Cricetulus griseus: one gene and its partner. Each later gene encodes a partner of the first gene's protein in a complex. Links are inferred from orthologs where the notes say so. Each region holds a gene or a part of one and is shown in the gene's direction. Other genes may lie near its edges.

The links.
Region 2: the proteins of 14-3-3 protein gamma (region 1) and Hdac4 are in contact, whole or in part, in a crystal structure (PDB 3UZD), measured with the Homo sapiens proteins. The link is inferred for Cricetulus griseus from reciprocal best matches to the Homo sapiens genes YWHAG and HDAC4. Residues at the interface, in NP_036611.2 of Homo sapiens: Asn43, Leu44, Ser46, Val47, Lys50, Asn51, Arg57, Phe122, Lys125, Arg132, Tyr133, Gly174, Leu177, Asn178, Val181, Glu185, Leu221, Ile222, Leu225, Asn229, Trp233; in NP_001365345.1 of Homo sapiens: Ser348, Pro349, Ser350, Leu351, Pro352, Asn353, Ile354, Leu356.

Annotation. Positions count from the first base shown.
Region 1 is NC_048597.1:114,931,688-114,937,234, reverse strand, and holds the start of 14-3-3 protein gamma, read left to right. Parts: upstream 1-1,767; 5' UTR 1,768-1,966; coding exon 1,967-2,053; intron 2,054-5,547. UniProt on the Homo sapiens protein: Adapter protein implicated in the regulation of a large spectrum of both general and specialized signaling pathways. Binds to a large number of partners, usually by recognition of a phosphoserine or phosphothreonine motif.
Region 2 is NC_048595.1:443,652,612-443,657,631, reverse strand, and holds part of Hdac4 (histone deacetylase 4), read left to right. Parts: intron 1-813; exon of another isoform or gene 814-1,058; intron 1,059-2,865; coding exon 2,866-3,101; intron 3,102-5,020. UniProt on the Homo sapiens protein: Responsible for the deacetylation of lysine residues on the N-terminal part of the core histones (H2A, H2B, H3 and H4).

The DNA of each region.
Region 1 (5,547 bases):
ATATAGATGTGACCATTTTCTACCACTGTTAAAATATCTTGTGAAGGGCCTAGTGGCTCACACCTGTGTCCTCTGAAGGCTGAGGCACATAGATGGCCAGGTGTTTAAGGTTGGCCTGAGTTACATAGTGAGTTTCAGGCTAGCCTGGCTACAGGGTGAGGCTGTTTCAAGAGAAAAAAAAAATGAAAAAAATAAAATAAAAACCAAACACCTGACACACCTGAGGTGCCTGTAATCCTAGTATGTGGGAGGTGGAGGCAGGAGGGTTAGGGCATTCAAGGTTTGCCTTGGCTACATAGGTAGAAGTTTGCCTGAACTACATGAGGCCAGGTCTCGAAACAGAAAACAATGGGTATTTTATAAAAGAGAAAGTCGGAAAAACAAAGGAACCACAACCAACTATACAAACAAAATCGATCAATAAAATAATGTAGAGTCTTTGTCTATTATTTAAAAATGAATTAATTCCTGGGCAGAGGCGGGGCTAGGTGAAGGTCAATTCCCAAGCTAGGGAATATGATTCAGTTGGGAACATTCATGTAAGACCCTGGTTTTGTAGTCTCAGCACTCTAAGACTGAAAACGAAAACGACAAACCCAGACCTCATCTCCCAACTCCTGAATTTCTTAGCCTGTCATTCAATGTCCCGTAGAAATTAATGACCCCAGTAGAGTTTCATGAAACACCAGACAACCTATCAGTAAATAAATTCCAGCTCTAGGGGAGGCAGAGGCAGGAAGATCTGTGTGTTAGAGGCCAGCCTGGTCTACACAGAGAAACCCTTTCTGGTAAAACAAAACAAACAAACAGACAAACAAAAAACGCAGTCAAAACTATAGGGGGTGGTGAGCTCAGGGAAGTGTTGGGTCAGTGAACTGAATCTTGGAGGGAGAAGGGATTTCCCCAGGGTCAGCCTGTAGACAGCTACATCACTTAGGGAAATTAACAAATGTACAAGGCGGATATGTGTCATTCCATGATTTCACCCAGTGAAGCCCCATGTCAAAGTGCATCACTGGAAACTGCAACATTCGGGTGTGCGTGTGTGTGTGTGTGTGTGTGTGTGAGAGACAGTCCTCTAAGTGTGTGTGTGTGTTTGTGTGTGAGACAGTCCTCTAAGAGTTGCATCATTTACGCAACCATCTCTCGGGCAGCCTCACCCTTTCGATGGTGGTGGTTGGGCAGTTTGGATTTACGGTGTCTGCACTGTGTTCTTCCCCATCCTCCGACCATGATCTGTAACCTCTGTTTCACAGAGTCCATAAATGAGGCCCTGGCTTTCTCTCCTCTCAACTGCCCAGAAGCCATGGGGCGGGGCCGTGAATCAGCACTGTTGCAGGCTGCATCCCCGCCAGGGGTCCCCAGCGGCCGCGGGCTTAGACCCTACCCCCACCCGGTCCGCCTCTGCCGGCGCTACGCCCGCTGGGAGATGTAGTCTCCGCCGCCCCTTTGTCCTTGGTCTCCTCTGCCGGTCAGTTCGCTGCGGGTCGAACTACTACTCCCAGGAGTCCACGCGGCAGAGGCAAACGGTGGGGGCGCTCAGGGGGACGAGGAGCGATCTGAAGAAACTGAGGCGAAGGATTTGGGGTACATTAGAGCGCAGTGGACAATCGGGGAGACGCTGAGAAAACCTCGAAGAGCCACAAGGAGTGTTCCAATAGGGGCGAAGCCCGCTAAAGGAGGGGCCGGGCGGGGCCGGGCAGCTCGCGCGCATGCGCGAGTGGGCGGTGCCTTTGCGTCACCCGTGTGGGCGGGACCGCAGGGGGTTGTCCGTCCGCGGCACGCATTAGAGCTGCAGCCTTCTTGCGCCGGGTGCCGCGGTCGCAGCTCGTGCAGCCTTTTGCTCGCCCTCGCCTAAGCAGCTCGCTTCGTGCGTCGGCCTCCGACGCCCCTCTCTTTCCCTAAAGCCCTTCAAGGCGGTCTCCGGTGTCCTCCTCTCCAGCCGACCCGCTTCAGCCCCGCGAAGATGGTGGACCGCGAGCAACTGGTGCAGAAAGCCCGGCTGGCCGAGCAGGCGGAGCGCTACGACGATATGGCCGCGGCCATGAAGAACGTGAGTGTCTCCTCCCCTCCCCCCTGCCTCGCCCAGCCGCTCCCGAGCACCGGGGTTCTGGGCGTGGAAGGCATGCTCGGGGGCATGTCGCCTGGTCGTGACCGTGGGGTCACCCCTCCGTCCCCCTCCTTGGAGGGATTAATTAGGGACGGGTCCTAAACGCGCGACTCGGGCACCCGAGTGGTGACGCGGCCTCTTTCCCAGCCTCTCCGGGCTCGGGGCTGGGGCGGGGTCTGGCGTGGCTGGGCTCTGCTGGGGAGGGGTCTCTAAGTGACCCTGCTCGTCCAGGCTTCCGAGTCGGGGGCCGTGCGCATCCTTTGTGCCCCACTTCCCCTCCTCCCCGCTTAGGCGTGGGGGCGGGGGGACCGCATGGATGCGGTTCCTCTTTCTCTCCCTGGTGTCTGGGCGGCGCCTTTCCCATTCACTCAGCTGGTCTCCCAGTCTTCCGCCTCCCCACTCCAGCAGCTCCCCCTCCCCATCATCTTCCCCACTGACACATCCTTTAAAGAACATTGAATATTTCGGGAAGAAAAAAAAAACGTAGATCCCCTCCCCCAAAAACCCGGGCTTAATGGTGTAAAATCGAAACCACCTTGCTCACGTTTTTCTTAACAAAAGGCTTCCCTTTACCCATTTCCCAAAGCGAGTCCTCTGACTTCTACGGAGGGAGGGATAAGTGTGTCGTTGGCATTTCCATTCATGGCCCTCTGTGTGCCATATTCAGTTTTCATTGAAAAGGGTTAAACATGCCTTTGAATGCTAACTGACTGATTAAATTTGTGACATGCAGTTTCTCTTTTGAATGTAGGCACGAGTCTCCCGAAATTCCTTTAAGTGTAAAAAAAAAAATCCGTCTAATCTGACATTGCAAACAAAGCGATGCAGGGAGGCAGTATCAAGTCATTCCAGAAGATTCTGCATTTGTCATATTGCAGAGAGCCTAGACTGGGTGGAGGCTGGGAGGAGGGTTTTTTTTTTTTTAAATGTATCTGAGGCTTTTTCCCTCTGACCTAATGCATCCTCATACTGATGAGAAGAGAATACTGATCTCCAGTTGTCGCATTTTTGTCTGAGATGCAAAATTCTACCTATTTGCACCATTTTGTCAGTAGCACTTATTTATTAACGAGTTGGGGACCAGTTTGCCAGCAGAGGGGCAGTACTGAGTATTGAAAAATTAAGTAGAAAAATTAATAATTGGGTTTCCCACTCCCTTAATATTTAACTTCCTACCTTATGTAACAAAGGTTGTTAAATGCATCTCTGGTGTTAAGTGGCTGGAGTGTGCCTTGCAAGTTAAACCTTTCAAGTGAACGAATAGCATTAATTTTTAGTTAATTTTTTTCTAGTGTTTTCAAAAGTCCAGGTGTTTATCCTTTCCTAATCAAATGAGCTACAATTTTTTTCTATTTTATGAAAAAATAATTTGGCTTTAAGACCAGAGCTACTGTTGTGTTAGTGTGTTGCTACAGTTTCCTTTTTATAACGGTTTAACAGTTAAAGGATACAAGTTGGACTTCTGTGGGTCACTAATGTTGAAAATGTCTTCAGTTCGTGATATTTAGACTCTAATTCTCCCCTATTTCTAGTTCCACAGGAGAGCGAGTGACCTCGCACCTATATCCATAGCAACCCAGTGATGTCACACACAATGACACAGAGGCTGCAATGCACCTAAGGGCTGGTAGGGAGTTTTCAGATGGCATTTGTCCAAGGTAATGCAGAAATGAGCTGATAAGCCAGGTGGCATTGAACGTTTCATCTTCTACCACATTGGCCTCGATCACCAAATAAAAAAATTATTTCACTTTAGACATACAAGGGCAGTGACTTCTAGAAAAGTCCATTCACCTTAAATGTCCCTTAACAACTTTATAAGATACTTTCATATTTCTCAATATCCATATCCATATCACTTACTTTAAAAACCCAGTAACGAGGAAGTGAAGGAATTTCTAAATAAGAATGTCTCTGGTCATAGCGAGGTGGGTGTGCATTTAGTGTTATTTCAATGAGACAGCTTTTCATTAAAGCATTATTAAATGATGGCTGGCCATCTGCAGTAGCTGTTAGGAAATGAAAACCCAGTACAAAGTGTTTTCCATCCGAATGAGGGAGGTTGTACTCTGCTGACCATGCTATGAGAGGAAGAATGATTTGTAAGATATAGGCCTTTTAAAAAGTTTTTTTCAAGCCTATTTTCTGTGGCCTTTTAAGAAAATCAGCTTACCTCTCACCCCCAGTTTCCACACAATACTTACTTGAACCAGTGAGGAACATGGTTCCCCAGTGTGGTAACTCAAATCACCTGTGTCTCAAGCATGCGTCTCTTGGTTCAGTCCCTGGCACCGGAAAAATTGATGATGAAGGGAATTAAGGTGTAGTTTAAGCATCTAGGGTAATTCTGGAAATGCCACGTTTGGAATTCATGCACAGCTATATCTGTAGGTGACTAGGACATCAATAGTTAGGGGCAGTATTCTGAATTAGGAGAGGAGATAAATGTGCAATTTTGCATTTGAGCAGAATACCTAGATGGTTCCGACTTGTTAGGTTATCCCACTCTCCCCTCCCCCCACATATTCAGATTCTGTCATCTCACTTTCCTTTGGCTGATCACAGTCCAAAATAAAATGTAATAAAGTCTTCAGTCTATTGTTATAATTGTTCTTTCTACTTATCAGTTATTGCTCTTACTGTGCCTGTCAGAGATTAAATTTATCACAGGTATGTATGAGATACAGTGTTTGGGTTTAGCTGCAATTTCGGTATCTGCTGGGGATCTTGGAACACATCCCTTTGGGCAAAGGTGGAGACCACTGGAATATCCTGCCTTTGGCTTTCAATAGCCTCTTGAGAAGTTAATATACTGAGTAGGCCGCTGGTACTTGCATCCTGGGGGGAAGGAGGTCCTGGACCTTGGGGTTACTGGATTAGAACTCTGGACTTGGGATTACAGTGGTTGAAGGATGCCTTAGTTATAGAAACAGATCTTCCTGGTGGGATCAATGGGTTTTAAAGTCTTACTCGGCTAGTTCTTCAGGAGCCAGATCAATAGCTATTATCCCTAATGGAGTAATGATGCCTTTGCAGATTCCTTCGAGGTGGAGCTCTGCCAGCTGTTCTCAGTCACGACTTTTAGGCTGCTCTCCTTGGAGTGGAGAGAGCATATAACTTCATTTCTGGTGTTATCCTTCACAATGCTGAAATGAAGATTAAATTATTTTTCCTTCCTCTTTAAAAATTACCAGCCCGAGGAACAACTTGGAGGAATCGGTTCTTTTTCTACTGTGTAGGTCTGGGGATTGAACTCCAGTCATGAGACTTGGCAGCAAGCAACTATATCTGCTGAGCCATTTAACCAGCCCCTAATTTTTTCCTCCTAACTAATTGAAAAAAGAGAACCTTGTGCTTCCTGTGTTCTTTAAAGGATGTGTTTGAATATCTGTTACTATATTTTTAAAGATAGACCTCAGCTGTCATTTTTGAAGACT
Region 2 (5,020 bases), on another chromosome or scaffold:
AAAATGTGTTCGTGTAGGTTGCACATTGCTGGGCCTCTGTTGCTTAGGGAACACTGATGTTATATAAAATGAGTGACCTTCTGTCTCTAGGCCATTTCCAGTCCTACCTCATGGTGGTTCTTTCTACTTGGTACAAAAAAATTACTGTTTTTTATTAATATGTCTGACAAGCTCTGTCCCTTAGTGGAGTGTCTGGACAATTTGAGAAGGTCGCAGATACAGGTGAGAGTGGGCTCAGTTGTCCTTGATTCCCAAACTCAAAAGCATTGTCTCTTTATCCTCCTGTTTAAATTGTTGTTACTGTTTTTAAATCTTAAATTTCTGCATTTATTAGACTTTTTTGTTAGGACTATTTACTGTCTTTTTTGAACTGTGGTAATGTTTTCATTATACATTTTTGTAGTGTATTAGTTATGAACCTCATTCTTCTTTTAAGCCCTGTTATTTCTAGTGTTCACTTTTGCCAAGTTTGAGTTCTCCCAGAACAAACATATTGTGTCACAACAAAAACTCTTGGGTTCTCTTACAAGGGGCTTCTCTCCATCAGTGGAGCTTAGAGAGCTTGCTGGAAGCCTTGGGTGGGAGCTGTAACCCTGGCAAGGTAGGCTTGGGTGGTGCTCTGGTCTTGAGATGCTATTCTTTGAGGAAAAACCACAGTCCCCATCTGGGGCCTGTCAACAAGGTGTCCAGACTATTTAAGAGCACACCTCAGAACATGATTCCTGTCTTGGAAGAAAGTTTTTTGGAAGATTGGCTAGACATGTCTCAAGAAATGAGGGTGCATGGGGTAAGGGGTGGGGTGGTCAGAAAGAGAATTAGGCCAAATGAAGGTTTGCAAGGGAAGTAGTGGAGAGCATTGTTTAAAGTTTACTTAAATGGCATCCTGACCACAATGAAGAAAGCCGATACTGTGGAAGATGTCAGCAGTCACGTGCAGAATGTACCAGAGAGGCCACCCCGCCTGGGAGTGCAGAATAAACAGCAGATGCGTCTGAGGCAGGAGGGGTGGATCTGTGGAGAGAGTCCAGCAGCAGTATACAATCTCTCAAGAAGCCAGAGTGAGTTGAATAAAAATAATCAAGGGTGACTGAGCATTTTCCAGAGCAGGAAGATGGAAATGTATTCAAAGGGTCTTGCTGTGAGCAAAACGAATCAAGAGACACTTATCGGTACACCGTCTGACAGTATTTTTCGGTTTCCAGACTAAAGAAAAAGACATGGTAGCATTTAGGCAGAAGAAAATGACATTAGCAATACCCAGCCCTAAAGGTTATGTAGACAGAACTCTGGGATAGCTGGCCTTAGGCTATTCCATGGTGCCAAGGGAACAGCATTACAGGATAGATGGTGTGGCCTGAGACTTTTATACCTAGCCAGGATGTGTGTGTGACTTTGTGTAAGATGGCTTCAAAGTTGCCAGAATAATGGGGTTTGCAGGATTGTGCCACCTGCCTCCCTTTAAAGAAGTGGTGTCCTGACTGAGAGGAGTAAAAGTTCTGAACCTATGGATAAAAGTCATGGTGCTATTGGGTGCATATCAGTTGTCATAAAGATAAGGGTTACATAGGTGTAGGTAATAGTGCAAAGCCGGAAACCACCTTGAATAGCCCACATTTGAAGACTGTCCTTGACATGATGAACTGATTAGTTGCAAGCAGCTGGGGAAAATCCTTGACTTGCTTAATAAAAGGATACATAGGCTGGACATGGTAGTGGATGCCTTTAATTCTAGCACTCAAGAGGCAGAGGCAGAGGCAGGACCAGCCAGCCTGGTCTAAATAGTGAGACAACTCTTTAAAAAAAAAAAAAGATTCATCACATTCTAAAAGAGAGAGATAGATACAGACAGATGTCTCAGTAGGTACTGGAGCCAGAGTCAGTCAGGTAGTCTTGGGTTGACATTCATTGGCTTGTCTCTGAAGTGACTGAGTTGTGAAAAGTCTGGTTGGGGAAGAATCTGTTAAATCCAGGGCTTTTGACAGTGCCCTAAAACTTGCAGTCTTCCCAAACCCTCCCAAGTGTTTATCAAGTGGTGTAGAGTGACCTGGGAAAGGGCATCTGGGGAGTAGGATGCGTTCTGGGCAGTGGGTCCTATGGGCAAAAGACTGAGAAAGAGAAGTATAGCACAAAGGGTCTGAGTTTGGATGTTACCTACCCCTGCCTCTTGGGAGTGCTTTTCAGGTGCTTTTCTGCATGGCCATGCATTCCTTCTAAACCTGGGAAAATGTAGTTATAAAGATGGGCACATGAGAGAGAACTTACGGAATTCGAACTAAATTTTATGGTAGCAACTATGTGCAGAAAATCTGGATGGCCGCTTATCAGTAGAAAGGCAAGGTGAGACAGTGGCATTTTCCCTGTGTACATCACAAAATGGTGTAGCTTGGAATATATCTGTATCAGCAGCAAGGTTCTATACTACTTCCTTCCAAAAGACTGACGGTGGGGATGTTTCTGTAAGGGTGGTTGATATCTCTAGATGAGATTTTTTGCCGAGGTTGATTTTGCCCCCCCCCCCCCAGACATTTTTGGCTGTCATAATTGGCTAATGCTACTGGCTTGTGGTGGGCGGAGGTCAGGGATACAGCTGGGTTTTTGTCATGAGTGTAACAGCCCAGCCACTGCATAGCTATTGGGCGTCAGCAGTGCAGCGGCGATGAGGAACCTTGCTCACCGATGGTGTTTGCTCACATGTGATTTTTGACAAACCTCACTGATAGAAATGGTTTGGCGTGAATTGCTTTGTCCGATTCCTGAGTTCATATACAAAGAACAGAGTGAAAACCTATTTCCTTAGTTAGGTGGTATTGTCCAGATTCAGTGTTCATATCCCAACTGAGGACTCCTTTCTCTCTGACCATGCAGGTTCATCTCTGCAAGGCCAGGTGACAACTGCTCTTCTTGTGGATTACTTGGTTTACAAGATCCTGCCAGTGAGACTTCAAGTTTACGCAGCTGGGACCCGAGCCACCTCGGTTTTGTACTTGCATGTGCTGGTGGAAGTTTGGAGCTGGTTGGAGCTACTGTTTACCTGGACATTTTGAGCCATTTTGAACTTAAGGCGCTGACACTGCTAGCAATGAGCTCCCAAAGCCATCCAGGTAAGGCCTGCATCTTTGGTTTCTAGTGTTCCTCTTTACAGATGTGTAGCTGCTGCCACTGCAGCCTGCTCTGCTTTCCTCTGGCACTTGCTGTTGGTTTGCAGCATCATCAAGTGCTCAGTAACTAGGGTTTCTTGTCTTTTGGTTCAGGGGGCTGGTGTAGACCTCCTGGAGATTCAGAGGATGCCCTGGCTTTGCATGCCCGCTCCAGTAGCAGGCAGTTTCCTTGATGCCAGGAAAAACAATTGTGTTTAAGTAGGTGATGGATAAATACCAGCAGGTAACTTGCAGAGTGAGATTCTTGTCTGGGCAAGTGAGGGGCAGTGCTGCTGTGATGACTCTGGGTGGGGTGAAGCCTTGGTTCCAGCAGCCAGTACAGTATCTTAGTTTGCTTTCTTTGGTGCTGTATTAAACATTTCACAAGCCTTTCTGATTCTCCACAGCCCTAGATGCATTTGGAAATGTTGGAACAAAGTCTAAGGTCAAGGAGCTGGAAGGGCAGAATAGGGTTAGAAACTGCGTGCTTAGGCCTTAACACATACGTATGGGACTTGGACTCGGTAGCAAAGCCGGAACCATGATAAATGTAGAGAGCTCTGCCTGACCTGCAAACTTTCAGCTGCCTTTGGCTACTTCTAATGTATTGTGTAACCTCTAGAGCTTTAGATGCCAGTATCTGTACTGGGCACACACAGGAGGCTGGACAAATGCTAGGATGGATGCTTGAGGCTCTGTCAGCCTGCCCTAGAGTCTGCTCCATTGGGTAGAGGTAGAGGCTTAGGGTCTAAGCCCTTTGCTCCAGGACTGCTGGGAGCAGAATGGTCACACATACTTCTCTGGGGCATCATGGCTTTGATTAAGAGTGTCAGAGGGCAAAGTTCTAGGTTTTATTTAGGTAGGAGGGTTTTATTGATTAAGTTGTTCATGTATTGATCTAAAAAATGGTTTATGGTGATTGTAGAAAAAAGTTAAGCTGTACAGACTGAAATGTCTACAGTAGATAGTGGTATGTAAGTATGCTTTTTGCTCTGCAGTGAGATGGAGATGTGTATCTTTTCTGTGTATGAACATGTAGTGATACGTGTGTCTACATCTGTATGTGAGGTGGATGTGAGTTAGTGTGTTAGATGTTTTTCCATGTTAGTGTACTATGAATATCCTTGATGTCAGTGTTCACACAAACCTAACATTCTATGACAGTTTGTGACTGTGTCTTTATGTGGTTATGACAGTGTTCACAATAGCTCCAAGTTAACATCACATAATTACTAGGAATATATTCTGTACAGTACTTTAAGTGTCTCCTGGATAACTTCTGAAAAGCTGAAGCTGGGTCAGCAGACATGCAGGTTTAAAATGTCTTTAGGATGACTGAAATTGCTTCAGAATGTTGTCTAACTCAACTTCCTAATTGCAGTGTGTAAGGAGGCATGGTTTCCTACTTTTCACCACTCTGGCACTGGGCAGATTCAGGCTGTTTTATTTCTCCTAGCGTGCTGGAGAAAATGACTACATTTGCTTTGCTATTTAAAAGGGGTACATACTATGTGACCTGATACAGATACAGTCAGATCTTGCACACACTACCCAGGCATTTGAAGAAAAGTGTGCTCTTCTTATTATGTTGTTGGTTTAAAGAAGTTTGTGAGTATGTCTTAGTACTGTGTTTCAAATTCTCTCATACATATGCATGACCTATTCTTGTACATAAGTACAAGAATATTTGTACTTTTTCCTAAATGTTACCTATATCTATTAACCCAGTTGAGTTTTTAAGCCAGGATGGCCTCTATTCTGTCTTCTTGGTTTCTGAGAAAAGTAAAATGTTCTATTGTGGTTGTAATTTTGATATAGTCTTTTAACATTATTAATCATTTTTCTCTATATATTTCAGTGTTTTCCCCCAGTGCTTAATTAAA